Macaca fascicularis: one gene and its partners. The protein of the gene in region 1 interacts with the protein of each later gene in a pairwise test. Links are inferred from orthologs where the notes say so. Each region holds a gene or a part of one and is shown on either strand. Other genes may lie near its edges.

Region 1 (5,689 bases):
GAAAGGAATATGGCAAAAGGTCCAGGCAAATAGGCTGAGGTACTTACTAGCACCAGGAGTCATGTAAGAAGGGAGAGGCAATGTAAAATTATAGGAGGCTGAGGCACACTCTGAAGCAGTGGACTAAAATCACTGAGCTGGCAGCCTATAGACAAAAGCCCCATGGCTCCTATATTCTGCGGGAGCTTATTCATGTCCATCTTTGCTCCACTTGGCTGAAGCATCCATACTTAAAGGCTGTACTTGCGTCTCCAGCAGCTACACTCAGCTAGTCCACCTGCTCCTAGTGAACATGGTAAGTGCAACTGCTCTGGACATACACTGTTTGAGTTCCAGTCTTTGTTCCACTAATTCACAGCTATGGGTCATAAACTCTATGGGCAAAACCTTTAAATTCTCTATTATTTACCTCATCAGGATAATGAGAAAAATTATAGCAAGTACCACATTAGGTAGTTCTGACAAATTCATCCTTTTGCATGCAAATTACATGGTATAAAAACTCTTAAATGTGCCATATTTGTTGGACAGTCAGGACAGTGTGAATAACCTGGGACTCAAGATTCACACTCCTAGCATATTTTTCAGCTACTTCAGCCAAGGTAAGTGCATTTGCAGTTGATGCAGATCATAAGTTATGCAGGTAAGTCATTAAAATGGCATAATTATCTTTCACATTCATTTTTTCTTTGCTTGTTTGGTCACTAAAAAGGTGTATTAAAATTGTCCACTAAGAGTCTGGAGTTAGGATTTTCTATTTTTATCAGTTGTGTATCTGATACAACGTTATTAAATGTATACAAAATTTGAACAGTTATATATTCCTGTGAATTACAATTTAATGTTTATGTATCATTCCTTTTTATCTCCAGCAAAGTGTTTATCCTTACCATAAACATTGTCTACAATCAAGACAGTCACAGCACCTGTTTGGTTTTTTTTCCCATCTTACTACTTTGAATGCTTCTGTATTTTTATGTTGTGTGTATTTTAAATAGGATGTTTCATTTTGATTGTAATGAAGTCTTATAGCCTTTGACTTTCAGTCTTTAAACTGCTTTCATTTAATCTAAGTTGTATGTAAATTTTCTATATTACTCTTACACTTAGTTTTTAGTGCTTTCTATATTTTATTATCTTTCCATTATTTTATTCTCACTGGTTTTAGTATTTTTGTTCTATTTTCCCTTTTATAATCTTGTTACTTTTATGTTGAAATCTTTTGTCTAAAGCCCCTTGTTGGGAAAGTCTAGAGACTTTGTATATCAAATACAAAGCACTGTGCCTCTGAGCCTAGGATTTGCTGTTACAAAGAATTATTGAGAAGGTGGCAAAACTGCGTAGGAACACAATTTCTGTTTTTATAGAGTGAGCTATTAATGCCATTGTAAGAATTACCAATATAGTGCTTTGTAAGTCCTCTAAGATCTGCATCTGTTACATTTGGCCAGACCCACTTGAACAGTCCTTTTCATTAGATGCTAATTACTGGCTTCTGTGCAAGGGACAGAATGATTATTCACACAACTCACATCCACACAACAGCCAATCCTGTTAGGCTTTGACCTTCAGCTTTCGGCTCTGTATTTACTTTATTACATAAACATAAATATTGTGATGTATATTCTTTTATATATATTTTCAAATACATAGCTCTTATACATATATATTATATATATATCATTCTTAAATATATATTTCCAAATATAAATTATTTCATGTCAAGCTAAACAGGATAAAAACATGTAAACATATACACTTGGTTTTGGTCAAGTAAAACACAAAATCACAAGTTCATCACAGTTTAACAAGTGCACTTGAAGGGGAAGGAGGGAAAGAACAAACTGTAAACAGATGAGCAGCTGCAAGACCCTGCGAGGGTCCATTTGTTAAGGCTATTATAGCACAAAGCTACTAGTTCAATTAAAACTTCTCCTTTCACTCTGCCACATTTACTCTTGAGGGTCTTCAAAATAAGTGTGGAAATTCAGTAAACACTACACTAGAACTGAGTTAATCCTGTTGAAAACAGAGATGACAAAAAAAGCCATAAGCTGACATTAATATTAATTTCACCAAAACAGTAACTTTAAGGACTTATTTTTTTAAACACAGATAATCACCATAATCCTAGGAGGAAAGATATGCAGAATAGACAAGAAAACAGAAGCACTGCCTCAACAGCCCCTGAAAGCAATAAGAGTGTCAACACAGGGAAAACAGGCAATAGCAGACGACAGAACCTCAGCAGACTAGACCACATGCCACAGCACAATGCTACAGATTCAAATTGAAATATTCTTCCAGCTCATAATGAAGCAAGTCCCACTGGTCCTCAGAGAAGGGTAACTCATCTCTCAGTAAAAGAAACCGCTTAAACAACAGACTGGCCAGTCGAAGCACGACAAGCTCCTTCTTACGGCTTTTATAGAGCATGTCGCCCTCTCCCATTCGCACAGGCTCCACAAGTTGATGCCAGTATGCGCCGAATGACCCACCACCTGGCCCAGGAGGCTCATCTCCCCAGCCCTCAGGGTATTCATGCTTGTAAAAGCATGTGTCTCCAAATGGGCAGTTACCCCTGCCTTCCGCAAAATACCTGCAGGCCTTGTTGCTCATTGCCTCCTTGTATTGCTGAATAAGTTTCTGCTTCTCTTCCTCCTCCTCCACCCAGAACTCACTGGGAACGACCAAGTCGGAGGTGACCCTGCACTGCGGGCAAGACTTGATGATCCTGTTATCAAACTGTCTGGCACTTCTCCACCTGCGGATACACCTAATACAGAAGGTATGGTTGCAATTGGAAAGAATGCCAAAGCGGCGGTCATTGGGGTTGGCTTTCTCATAGACAACCTCCATGCAGATGCCACACACCTTGTCCATACCACGCTGCACAGCAAACGAGAGTTCCATATCTTTCTCGTGTGCTTCAATGCAGGCCCTTATATGGTCTTCCCTCTGGGCAGCATCCATGGGGTGCAAGGCCTGCAGCCCACACATGTCGCATATGTCTCCATGGAGGAACATACAGCTCTCCCCACGAAAGCAAACTCCCCTGGAAGCATAATAGCAAAACCGCAACCCCCTGCCCACAGCCATCTGATTCCTCTCAGTCTCTGAGCTCTGTGGAGGAGCCTCGGGGGCAGATGCAACCCAGCGGCCCCGGTAGGGCTGCCCTGGAACAAACTCAATGGCATCCGCCCAGCTTTCTACACCTGCTCCTCCAGCAGCTCCACGGTCTGCATTGTCTCTCTCGGCTTCAAAGAAACCCCTTTCAGCAGCCGAGCCAATCACAGGCAAGGAAAGGGAGGATGCAGCCGGGGGGGCTTCCGCCACTTCCTGAGTCGGGGGCTCGATGTGCGCAGCCGTGCTAGGGCCTCCACCTGCAGAGGCCCCAGGCGGCGAAACGCTGCCCTCAGTGGCCATCTTCCGACCAGAAAGGTCGTGGGAATAGCGACAGTTCTCCCCCTCCTTGCACTGCCCATGTATATAATACCTGCAGATGATCTGCTTTGTCCAAATGCCGCTGCTTCGGCTTGGAAACGGATTGCGCCATGCTCCTCCTCCTGAGGCTGGTGCAGGCCTCAGGCCTCCTGTGCGGAGGTGGGCAGGGACTGGAGCTACAGGGAAGGGGGCCCAGCCCACAGGCGCATGTGGCAGGGCCGAATCTGGAGCAGCAGATTCCCTGGAGGGCTCACAGACGGGAAGGTCCGGCCCAGACACACCCTCCCCTGCTGCCTCAGCACCTGCCTGGGCCCCGGCTGCCTCCTGGGCTTCTGAGGGAGCTGCAGGCTCTTCCATGGCAGCTTCTTTACCCCGAAATGGTGCCAGAACGTCTCCGGTATTTTTTCTTTATGGGCTTGAGGCCCGGAGTCGCGGCCGCGCTCGGAGGCTTCTCTAGGGGAAGTGTGCATCTCTTTTTCTTCCCCCCCGGTTCTTGGCTGCCTGTGACTGTGTGTTCCTACCTACTTCCGGGCACAGGCAGCGCGGCGGACACTTCCTGTGGGGGCAACGTACGCGCCGCGCTTGGATTTTACCGCAATTTTCCAATCTGACATATTTTTTGTTCACACAGGCAGGGACCAACCCAGCCCCTTTTGTCTGCCTTCTGCCTCTGCTTCGCTGTGTTCCGGCAGCCCCTAATTCCCTCCTCACACCGTTTCCTCAGGAGAATGAGGTTTTACTTTAATCTCTTTTGGTTTCAGTCATGCACGTCTTCGTTGTATTTTCGTATCTGTCTGCTTTAAAAAAATTAGAATCCAATAGATTCTGAAACATTTCATACATGAATTAGATAAATCCTTTTTTGATTCACTCCATCTTATGTCTGCGTTTTTTTTTTTTTAATGCCCTGTCACTGCTGGAAGATTTTTTCGATTTGCTCTGTTGACAAAGCGTCGTTTCTTTTGGTCTTTGTTTTCTGGGATTTCTGAGGGCTTACGCAGGATACGCTTTTCACCAGCAAGGCATTAGCAGACAGCGCTTCTGATCCGAGGCTAAGTTAGCACCTTTCAGATGTCTTTCTTTATTGTGATTACTATGCTCGTTTTCCCACTGTGTAGAAGCCCCAGACTTCAATCATTCCTGATGCTGGCTGAATAAGGCACTGTCCCCTGCATGACCCAGGCTTTTATTTTCTCTACTGGTTTAATTCATGGCAGCCCTTTGTTTCTCTTGCTTTCTTTCAACCCCATCTGTGCTGTGTTGTGGCATACTATCCACAAAGGAATGGTCTTTAATTTCCATATATAAGCGTTTTGTCATTTTTGCAGATACGTGTAGTGGATTAATCATTTTTTTGTATTCCTACTTTGCTGAGAGTACGTATCATGACTGCATACTGAATTCTGTCATGTAGTTTTATATATTTTTTGAGATAATCTTGTTTTTCCCTTTATTCTCTTAATGTGATTATTTGCAGCTATGAGTTTCAAATATTTAACTGACCAATTTGTTTCTAATAAGAAGCCCTTCTGTGTCATGATATATCGTTTTATATATTATTGGATTTTTTTTTTTCTGTAAGTTTCTTTGAGGAAATTTTGTTGCCTAAATCTGTAAAGTGGAAACATATCTGAATATTTATAATCACCCAAGTCAACAAATTAAATTATAATTAGGTAGGTAAAAGCAAAGAAAGCAGAATGAAGCAAATAATAAGGCCAAGAAAAGCAATGAAGAAAAACAAATATTAAATAAGGGAAATAAATTAAGTAAAATCCTTTAAACAGCTTATTGAAGCCAGATAATTTCTGGTGAAACTTATCAAGGAAAAATGAAGAAGGCTGTAATAACCAACATCAGTAATTTCAAATATGTTATCACTACATTAATAACAGGCATTAAAAATCATTAGAGAATATCAGGAACAAAATTAGGACATTAAACTTGAAAATTTACATGAAATAGTCATATTGCTGGAAACATCTATTAGTAAAAATGACAGGAGCAGAAATAAATGTGAATATGGATCTGTTACATCTGTAATTTAGATAATTATCTAAAAGGTTTCTAAAACTTTCCCTCTGAAATAAATCTAAAGGCAAAAAAATCTGTATTTATTATTGCAAGTCCTAGCTAGTGTAATAGCAAAGAAATAAAAGATGTTATAACTGGAAATAAATTATTGATGGAATGCAACAGAAAATTAAGAATAATTTACAGATAAGCTATTAGCTTTAATAGGTGC
Region 2 (4,899 bases), on another chromosome or scaffold:
ATGTTCACTCTTGTGTTAGCCTTTAGTCCAAGTCCCTTATGATACAAGAGGGAAACTGAGGCCCAGGGATGTACAACGGCTTTTCCAAGGTCGCACAGCCAGCCAGCCAGGGACACAATCCAAGCCTCTCGGCGACAGGTCCAGGGCTGCCTGGACTCCGGAGTGTGGTGGGGGCATCTTGGCGGCCTTTTTCCAGCCGACCCCGCCGCCAGCCCGGCCCAGGCCCAGCTGGGTGAGCTGATGACTCAACGGGCGGGCACTGCATTTTGCTATCCTGCCTCGTCCCGCTGCTCTAGAGGGTTCCCAGCTCTCGGGCCAGACGGGTGACAACTTGTCTGAGTGAAACCGGGAAAGCGCCGCCCCTCGGCGCTCAGCAGGCGGCGGGGGCGCCGCTCAGTCAGTCAGCTAGTTGTGGCGTCCGCCAGGCCTGGCGGGCGGCGGGAAACTCGCCGCGCGCGGTCCGCCGCTCAGTTTCCCATTGGCTCGTCGGGTCCCCCGGGGTGGTACCCTGGGGCAGCTCCCTCCTGTGATTGGGTGGCAGAGCCTCGGGCCCCGCCTCCAGTCCTGGCTGTGAAGGCGAGACCGAGCAATGCGGCCGCAGGTTCCGGCGTGTTGCTGGCTGCAGAGAGCGGAGGCGGCTGGCTCGGCAGGCAATGCTCCCAGCGGCCATTCCCACCCAGCTCGTCCTTCCTCCCCACCAGCCCGTTTCCTTTTGTCTCCATTTCCGAACTCTTTGGGACGTGACCCTCTCCTAAGATCTGGGCTTTTATGGCGGCACTGCACCCCTGCCTCAAATCGTACTTCCCTCCGCTGAGATCTGAGCCCTTGATGAGACTGTGACCCGCCTGTAAATCGGGTGCTCAGTGCCGCTCACTACTGCAGCGCTGTCCTTAGATCTCATGCCGGAGACTTCACTATTTCCTGTCCCGCTCCACCTGAGCTCGTCAGCCTCCCGCGCTGCGGCTCCCACTCACCTCCCCTCGGCCCTGCAGAGGAGGCTCGGCGCCTCCTGTGGGTTCACCTGACCCTCCCGGTCCCATCCAGTTTGACTGGGGCCGCCCTGATGGAGACAGCCGGACCCCGGCCTCACCTGGACTCAAAGTCTTGCGTGCAGGTCACTGAGCCACCCAGGGAGGTCAGGGCCCTAACTCAGAGGTCGAAAGTCAGGATCTCTAAATCAGATTCCAGTTCCACTCCCAACCCATCGCCAAGAACTGGAAAGAGACAGGAGGAGTGTCACAGGGGAACTTTATTGAGAGGAAACATGGTCACACCCAGCAGACATGCTTTCCTTCAATGTCGGTCTTGCACTGGCGCGCGCGCGCACACACACACACACCCATCTCCGGCCCCTGCCACTGTCCAGTTCTCAGCCACAAGGCGGGACATTCCTCAATTCCTACGACCAGAGGCAGCAGGGGCAGGAGTGAGGCAAGAGGGAGGGGAGAAGTAGCCTGGTCCTGGGGTCGGGAGGAAGCGGTGCGGAGAGCAGGGCTGGGGTCATGACCAGTGGTTAGGTGCGCTCAACAGCTGCAAGAAGAGTGGGATCCCCAGCCCCAGGTGGCCTCAGCTCTGCCAGTCCCTCTCCACGGAGCCGTTTGGAGTAAGAACAGCGCCTGGGGGAGAAGGGTGGGGCCTCCCACCCCATATTAGTCCTCTCGGCAGGGTGGGGGACTGAAGGGGGCAGGGCAGGGTGGGGCGGTGGTGGGCAACACTCAGCTCTGGGGCTCCTGGGGAGCCTCGCCCCCCTCTTCCCCGGCGTTGTCGGCCGTCCACAGCGTCAGGTTGTCTCGCAGCAGCTGCATGATGAGGGTGCTGTCTTTGTAGGAGTCCTCGCTGAGGGTGTGCAGATCAGCCATGGCCTCATCGAAAGTGGTCTTGGCCAGCGAGATGGCCTCCTCGGGGCTGTTGGCGATCTCGTAGTGGAAGACGGAAAAGTTCAGGGCCAGGCCCAGGCGGATGGGATTGGTGGGCGGCATCTCCTTCTTGCTGATGTCCATGGCCTCCTGGTAGGCTGACCGGGCTGAGTCGATGATGCGCTTCTTGTCGTCACCAGTGGCCACCTCGGCCAAGTAGCGGTAGTAGTCGCCCTTCATCTTCAGGTAGAAGACCCTGCTCTCCGCGTCCCCAGCCTCCTTGATGAGATGGCTGTCCAGCAGGCCCAGCACGGTGTCGCACACGCCCCGGAGCTCAGTCTCCACCTTCTCCCGGTACTCACGCACCTCGGGGCCCTTCTCCTCCGAGCCCTCCTCATTGCTTTTCTGCTCAATACTGGACAGGACCCTCCAGGCAGCCCTCTGGCCGCCCACCACATTCTTGTAGGCTACTGAGAGCAGGTTTCGCTCTTCGCAGGAGAGCTCCTCACCTTTCTCCACGGCGCCCTTCATGAAGGCTGCCATGTCCTCATAACGTTCGGCCTGCTCTGCCAGCTTGGCCTTCTGGATCAGACTGGCTCTCTCCATGGCTCTGGGGACACACAGGCGGGCGGCGGGCTAACTGCTGCCTGGGACCAATGCCGGACTCTGTGCCTCTCCTGCTCTTGGCCTGCCTTTTGGCTGGGTGGCCAGGCCCAGAGAAGGGTGGGGAGGAGCAGGGGGCGGGACCAGGGCCCAAGACCTGCCTCCCTCTCCTCTCCTCCCCACACCCTTTCCGGCTCTGCAGTCAAGGTAAAAAGGCTGGGATGTGGGGGTGAGTCATCAGAACAGTCAGCAGAAGAAATCTGGGCGTGGGCCCCACCTGCACAGGCACCTTTCCAGGCTCTAGGCTGCCCCCTCTTGTTCGGGGCTGGCATCATATGGCTGCTCACATCAGGAAACTGCCTGGCTTCTCAAATCAGATCCTCCTTCACAGCGTCCTTACAGAGGCTAAGGGCGGCTTTAGCCCCTGGCTGCTTCTGCCTCGACAGAGCCCATAAAGGTTCAGGAGGATGGGGTTCCCAATCCTGCCAGGTAACTTCTCCCCTTGATTCAGGTGAGGATAACTTATGTTTAGGTAGGGCCATAGAGTTTCCCAAGCACTTTCATATTCACCATCGAATTTAATCCCCACTGTGTCTCTGTGACACACACAGGACCACAGAGATGGGAACACTAAGTCTCAGAGAGGGGTGAGATTTGCTCAAAGTCACATAGCCACCACTTCCCTGAAACTCCTTTCTGCACCCTGCTTCCTTTAGCTTTTCTCCCGTTGAAGTCTCTGACCTATGAGCTCCAGGCTGTGTTTGGAAGTGAGATCCAGGCTCTTTCTCAATCTACCTGAAGATGGTTCCATCCCTCAGGCCTCACTCCCCCTCAGGGTCCCCTCTGAGCTCCCAGAATGCGCAGGTGGCAGCTTTCAGAGTGCCACTTAATGAAGTGTTTAACAAGCAGCCTCTGACGCTCCAGCCCAGCCTTTGTAATTAGTCACCCAGTAGGTTTGTTGGACACATTTCCCATCACTACACAATTTTCCCTTTCAAGTTGGTGGCCTGTTGCCACTTGTTTGAGGATTTACCCTCTGGCCCTCCACACCAGGTCACTTGCCCTCTCCAAGCCACATGCCATCAGGTACCAGTGGGGTTCACAGAGGGTGGGGTCCAGCTCCCCGGCTGTCCCACTTTCCTGCCTGACTCAGACTGCTCTCTGTCTGAGGCTGGGAAGCAGTCCAGTTTGATCCCCCAGGGGGGACGCTAGCAACCTGGGGAGAGAGAGGACTGAGAAAGGGAGGTGGCAGTGACACATACCATTCTGTTTTATGGGGCAGCAATCCCAGCTACTCCCCCAGCCTGTCTCTCAGAAGTTTCCCTGTTCCTTCCTTTTTTTTTTTTTTAAATAGAGACAGGATCTCACTACATTGCCCAGGCAGGTCTCAAACTCCTGGGCTCAAGCAATTCTCCTGCCTCAGCCTCCCAAACTGCTGGGATTATGGGCATGAGCCACTTCCTTCCTTTTGACCATTACCCCACCTCTGACCCCTGGCAGAGTCCTCAGATGGAGACCTCTGTTGCCAACCTTCTTTCCCTGCTTGCTGGGGCCCTGGCCTCAAGTTTCATCAGGAGTTTCACCAAAGGGTGTTGGCATTGAGCCTACAGGGATGGATTCCTGCTTATCTGCCCCACCCCTAGCCAAAGCTTAGATGGGCCTCGGGTACGGCTCCTTTCACTGGGATTCTGCCCGCCTAATAGTTGAGCTAGGATAATTTCACAGGCCTGTGTCTCCCCCAGGTACCCTGAGTGTCTGAACACTCATCTTCCCTCCTAGAGGGAGGCTTAGGCCAGAACTCTGGGGACCAAAGATGAGATTCTTCTCTTTTGCCACAAGGAGGAGTAGGGACATGTCTGGACTAATGCTACAGGGTTTCCAAGGAAGTAAAGGGGATTTCAGGTTTGACAGCCCAGAGATTTTGCTCAATTCAGAGAACTGACGTAGAAAACGATAGGAACCACACGAAAATACCAGCTTATAGAGGGTATCTTGAGGTAGTGAGACTGACTGATTTTGCTTCCCCTTGATTTTCTTTTCTATTTTCTTTTTTTGGGATAGGGTCTCACTCTGTTGTCCAGGCTGAAGTACAGTGGTATGATCACAGCTCACTGCACTCTCAACTTCCTTGGCCTCAGGTGATCCTCCTGCCTCAGCCTCCTAAGAAGCTGGGACTACAGGTGCTCACCACAACGCCCAGCTAATTTTTGTATTTTTTGTAGAGACAGGGTCTCACCATGTTGCCCAGGCTGGTCTCAAACTCCTGGGTTCAAGCAATCCTCTTGCCTTGGCTTCCCAAAGTGCTGGGATTACAGGTGTGAGTCACTACACCTGGTCTTTTTGATTTTCTTATTCTCTCTAATTTATAAATAGTGAATATGGGTCGGGTGCGGTGCCTCACGCCTGTAATCCCAGCACTTTGGGAGGCCGAGGCAGGCGG
Region 3 (5,231 bases), on another chromosome or scaffold:
CCTTTATCATAAATTAGGTAACTGTGTAGGTAGGTATGTTTCACAGGTCCATATAAGGTAGACACACACACACAAACACAGACACATTTTAATCTTTGAGACAATATCATACTCATAATTGTATTAAATTTTGATATCTAGTAGTGGACGTTTTGGAGCTTTCTTCGTCTAAAAGGCTGTCTTAGCTATATTTGGCTCTTTGTAGTTTTTTTTTCTTTTTTTTTTTGAGACAGTCTCACTCTGTCGCCCAGGCTGGAGTGCAGTGGCGCAATCTCGGCTCACTGCAACCTCTGCCGCCCGGGTTCAAGCGATTCTCCTGCCTCAGCCTCCCAAATAACTGGGACTACAGCCGCCTGCCATTGCGCCCGGCTAATTTTCGCATTTTTAGTAGAGATGGGATTTCACCGTGTTAGCCAGGGTGGTCTGGATCTCCTGACCTCGTGATCCGCCCGCCTTGGCCTCCCAAAGTGCTGGGATTACAGGCGTGAGCCACTGCACCCCGCCCACCTCTTCGTATTTTCATACACATGGTTGAAGTCTGCTCATCAACAGAAAGTGAGCTGTTGAGATTTCCATATGGATTGCACTAAATTTATAGATGAATTTGGGTATAATTGACATCCTTAAAATATTGAGTGTTTCCATTCATGATCATGGTAATACCTATACTTAGTTATTCTTTAATGTTCTTGAAACTATTTTATAATTTTCAGTGTAGAGGTCTTGAAAGTATTTAATTAGATTTATTCCTAGATATTTGATTTTTAGCAAAACTTATTGGGCTATAATTTACATACAATAAGATACACACCTTTTAACTATATAGTTCAATGATTTCAACAAATGTATTTATCAATGGAGTCACTACCTCATTAAGATACAGAATGTTTTCCTCAGCTGAGAGAGTTCCATTATGCCTCTTTGCAATCAGAAAAACCCCAACTTTCAAGCCAGGCAAAAACTGATTTGATTCAACTTATATCAGTACAGATTAGTTTTGCCTGTTTTAGAACTTATATAAATGCAATCATGCAGAAAACAATTGTGGCTGGTGTCTTTATAGATACAATTTTTTTTTTCATTTTTTTAAGATTCATCTATGTTACTGTTTGTATCAGTAGCTTGTCACTTTTTTATTGCTTAGCAGCTTTAAAATGTATGAATACATCACAATTTGTTTATCAGTTCACTTGTTGGACATTTAGATTTTTATCAACTTTGGGGCTATCATAAAGGAAATTTCTATGAACTTTCCTATGCCAATATTTTTGAGAAAATATGTTTTAAAATCTGTTGGGAAAATTCCAAAAAGTGGAATTTCTAGGACATATGGTAAGCCTAAGTTTAACTTTTTAAGAAACTGCCACCAAGTCTTGGAGTGGTTGAACCCCTCACCAACAATCAATGAGAGTTTCTATTGTTACTATTTTCAAAAGTGCTTGGGACTGTCAGACATTTTAAGTTCAGCAATTATAATGGGTGTGCAGTGGTTTTTCATTCTGGCTTTATTTTACATTTCCCTGATAGTTAATGAGGTTGAGCATCTTTTCATGAGCTCGTTGGTAATTTGTGTATGTAGTTTTGTGAAATGTTTATTCAAATCTATTATTTGCCTTCTTGAGTTTTCGAAGTTCTTTATATATGCTCTGAATTCAAACCCACTGTCAGATACACATATTGTGAATATTTACTCCCAGCTTCTCACTTCATTTTCTTAACCATGTGGTTTAAATGGTAGTTTTTAATTTTGATAAATCCAATTTCTCATTTTTTTTTTTGTGATCTGTTCTTTTTCTGTCCTAAGGGATTGTTTTCTCAAAGATTATAAAGTTTTTCTCTATGTTTTATTCTAGAAGTTTTCTAATTTGAGTTTTTACATTTAGGTTTATGACCATTTTGAATTAATTTGTGTATAGTATAGATAAAAGGCAAGGCTCCTGTTTTTCCTTTAAGAATTCTGTTATTTCAGCACCATTTGTTTAAAAGACTATACTTTCCATATCGAATTACTTTGACATCTTTGTCAAAAATTAATTAACAGGCAGAAGGAGGTGAATCCTGGGAGCCAAGGGCAGAGAGAGGCAAGTCCCCAGAGAAGTGGGAATGGCCAACAGCTCCCTGAGAAGATGCCTTCCGTCCTTCCTGGGCAGGCAAGGGAAGTCTCAAGAATACACAAGAGAAGGGAGAGTGGCAGAGCCCAGGCTGGGGATGTTAAAAGGGACTCACGGTGAGGATGGGGGCGGGCCCGAAAGTCCCACCTGACTCCAGGCTGCAGGAGGGAGCGTGGGACGGGGGCGGAGCCGCTGGCGATGACAACAGCCCCACGTGATCGGCCAACACTGAGTCTTGCCTCGCTCTGGCGTCGGAGCCGCCGTCGCTCGCTCCTTTCTCGGCTGTGGTACCTGTTCCCGGTGGCCCTGAGGACGTGCGGGCCAGGTGCGGCCCCGAAAGCAGGAAGCGGAGGGGGAGCAGGTAAGGGAGACGGAGGGGGTCCCTGGGGTTGGTGTGGGGGAGCGGCCCCGGCCTGCGGATGCCCCACCCCCGAGGAGCCGCGCTGAGACGCAGCCGGTGCACGATGCAGCCCCGGGGCCCCGCCGCGGGACCGCTAGCCTTTAGTGAGCGGAGGAGTGCCTGGCCCCGCGGGAGCCGGCGGTCCTGAGGCTGCGGTCCTGAGGCTACGGCCCTTCTGAAGCACCTGCCTCCGCCACCAGCGCAATCTTTTCTGAGATCCCTGCTCCGCCCTTCTTGATGCAGAAAATGGTGGTCAGCTTGGGGGGCGGGGCGGCTGAGGCGCGGGGAGAGGGCGGCGAGGAGGGCCCGGGCCCGGCGCGGGGAAGGGGCCGGGTGGCGGCGGGTCCTCGCTAGTGTTCCGCTGCAGCAGCCTCCACTCTTCCCACCCCGGCCGTCTGCAGGTCTGCGAGGCTAAGTGTCGAGGCGACGCACCTCACGTCGAGAATCGGGAGGAGGAGGAGACTGCAAGGATAGGCCCAGGTCGGTGCGAGGGACGGTGGCGGGGCGGGGGTCAGAACATGACGAAAGCCCAGTCTGGGACCCCAGTCGGTGCCTTCACTGCTACGCTTCGCAATCCCCCACCCCCACCCCTTCTTCGTCCTCCATTTTGGCGCCTGCAGAGGCCTGGAGATGGATCTGCAGAGAAGATGGTGGGCTTTGCGGGAGAGAGGGGCGCGGACTGCCCCCCCCCACCCCGAGGGTACACGGGGCCTCTCTGATGGGAAAAAAAATGAAATTTAAAAAAGGCCTTTGAAATCCAGGGCTCTGAATTTTGAAAGGTGGGTAGTCGGGCCTCTGTCCTCGGTGCTGATCAGTTCACCAAGAATTGAGTCCGTTTTCTCTCTGTCTCATAGGAGTAATGGAGTCCAAAGAGGAACGAGCGTTAAACAATCTCAACGTGGAAAATGTCAACCAGGAAAATGATGAAAAAGATGAAAAGGAGCAAGTTGCTAATAAAGGGGAGCCCTTGGCCCTCCCTTTGAATGTTGATGAATACTGTGTGCCTAGAGGAAATCGTAGGCGGTTCCGTGTTAGGCAGCCCACCCTGCAGTATAGATGGGACATAATGCATAGGCTTGGAGAGCCACAGGCAAGGATGAGAGAGGAGAATATGGAAAGGATTGGGGAGGAGGTGAGACAGCTGATGGAAAAGCTGAGGGAAAAACAGTTGAGTCATAGTCTGCGGGCAGTCAGCACTGACCCCCCTCACCATGACCATCACGATGAGTTTTGCCTTATGCCCTGAATCCTGATGGTTTCCCTGAAGTTAATAGGGAGACCCCAGCTTCCTAAACTTACACATTTGTGGTGTACCTTTGTCGTAAACCTTTTGATGTTACCTATTTCTTGTGGGTCTCCTATTACCAGCTTCAAACTGAATGTTGTTTTGACCCAGTTTGTAAGTTTCTGTCAGCAGGGGAGTTTTACCTACTGCATGGAAAGATGCTCATTATATATTGTGAAGTTAATAAAACAGTTTTAAAAACCATTCTCTGCATTCTTTTTTACTTTAAATCTTAAATATGAACATAAACAGTCATATATGTACACATATATACACATATATAGAAAATCGTGTTTATCTTTGTGGTAGAATTAAGAGGGAGTTTATTCTTGCGTATCCATAATTTCTTATTTTTTAAAATGGAACACGTATTACTTATAAAAAGCAATGTGACCACCTTATAAAAGCAATGTGAGCACTTAATAAACACTTGTGACAGAATCTCAATTTTAACTTGCTTCTGGGATCTCTTTTTAGAAATGTTTGAGAGACACATCTCTTTGAAGATCATAATATTTATCAGTAAGATGAAGACAATCACCTCCCAGGCTTATTGTATGGACCAGAAAAGGTAATGAGGTTGTAAGCTTTCTCCCAAGTTCTTGTTCTTACTGACATGCATGACCCAACCCTTTAGATATTCCCTTCTGTTATTAGAGGAAATCTCCAAGGTGAGGTCTTCCCTATATTCACAAGTCCAGTGGGCTAAGGAGTAGGTACTTTCATTCCTCTGCTGCTGTGCTCTATTCTCATCATCTCCCCTGGGTATTACTCTGTTTTCTAGGTTTTGCTCCCTACACTGGCTCCTTCCACTGCAGATGTTCAGGAATCCTCAAAGTGAGAAAGTCCCACCAATTTCTCTGGAATTTCCAGTGGATTGAATCCTTGCTCTACTCTACAAAAGAGTGAACAAATCCCCTCTCCCTGCTTTGTTTCATGGAAAAACATTGTCTAGTTCTTTCCTTACAGGTAGTTCTGTCCCAGGAAACCTCCTCCTCAGTATAGCAGACTATGTAAGATGTGTGAGGAAGCACAGCCCACTTTCAATCTGAGATAGTCCCACCTCATACCAGCTCACATTCACCTGAAATCCATGAATGTACAGAATTTTGTTATCTATATGGAGTTGGACATCGGGAAATCACTTAGTGAATCAATGGATACACAAATGAGATCTTTATGAGAAGTCTATGGGAAGACAATTGGGGTTAAGTGTCCCAGCAGAACTAGGGAAATAAAATCCCCGTCAATTTGTGCTAATTAGATGAAATACACACATTTTATGTATGAGGACAGTCTCATAAACTTAAAGTCAGGATTCCAGAACAGGAGTTGGCAAATAACCCAAATCTGGCCCACTGCCTATTATTTGGCTTATAAGAATGATGTTTACATTTTTAAAGGTTGAAAAACTTGAGGATATTACACCAAAACT

Evidence for each region. The genes of interacting proteins can lie anywhere in the genome.
Region 2: the proteins of MKRN3 (region 1) and SFN interact in binary tests that used the Homo sapiens proteins (3 or more experiments, as listed by UniProt). The two-hybrid records come from large-scale screens. The link is inferred for Macaca fascicularis from reciprocal best matches to the Homo sapiens genes MKRN3 and SFN.
Region 3: the proteins of MKRN3 (region 1) and protein BEX2 interact in binary tests that used the Homo sapiens proteins (3 or more experiments, as listed by UniProt). The two-hybrid records come from large-scale screens. The link is inferred for Macaca fascicularis from reciprocal best matches to the Homo sapiens genes MKRN3 and BEX2.

The regions. Positions count from the first base shown.
Region 1 is NC_088381.1:5,417,310-5,422,998, forward strand, and holds the start of MKRN3 (E3 ubiquitin-protein ligase makorin-3), read right to left. Parts: upstream 3,911-5,689; 5' UTR 3,802-3,910; coding exon 2,600-3,801; coding exon of another isoform or gene 2,278-2,599; exon of another isoform or gene 2,020-2,277; coding exon of another isoform or gene 1,998-2,019; exon of another isoform or gene 1-1,997. UniProt on the Homo sapiens protein: E3 ubiquitin ligase catalyzing the covalent attachment of ubiquitin moieties onto substrate proteins.
Region 2 is NC_088375.1:208,246,928-208,251,826, forward strand, and holds SFN (14-3-3 protein sigma), read right to left. Parts: upstream 2,527-4,899; 5' UTR 2,463-2,526; coding exon 1,716-2,462; 3' UTR 1,232-1,715; downstream 1-1,231. UniProt on the Homo sapiens protein: Adapter protein implicated in the regulation of a large spectrum of both general and specialized signaling pathways. Binds to a large number of partners, usually by recognition of a phosphoserine or phosphothreonine motif.
Region 3 is NC_088395.1:109,687,727-109,692,957, reverse strand, and holds protein BEX2, read left to right. Parts: upstream 1-2,341; 5' UTR 2,342-2,748; coding exon 2,749-2,763; intron 2,764-2,912; coding exon 2,913-2,991; intron 2,992-3,365; coding exon 3,366-3,757; 3' UTR 3,758-4,000; downstream 4,001-5,231. UniProt on the Homo sapiens protein: Regulator of mitochondrial apoptosis and G1 cell cycle in breast cancer.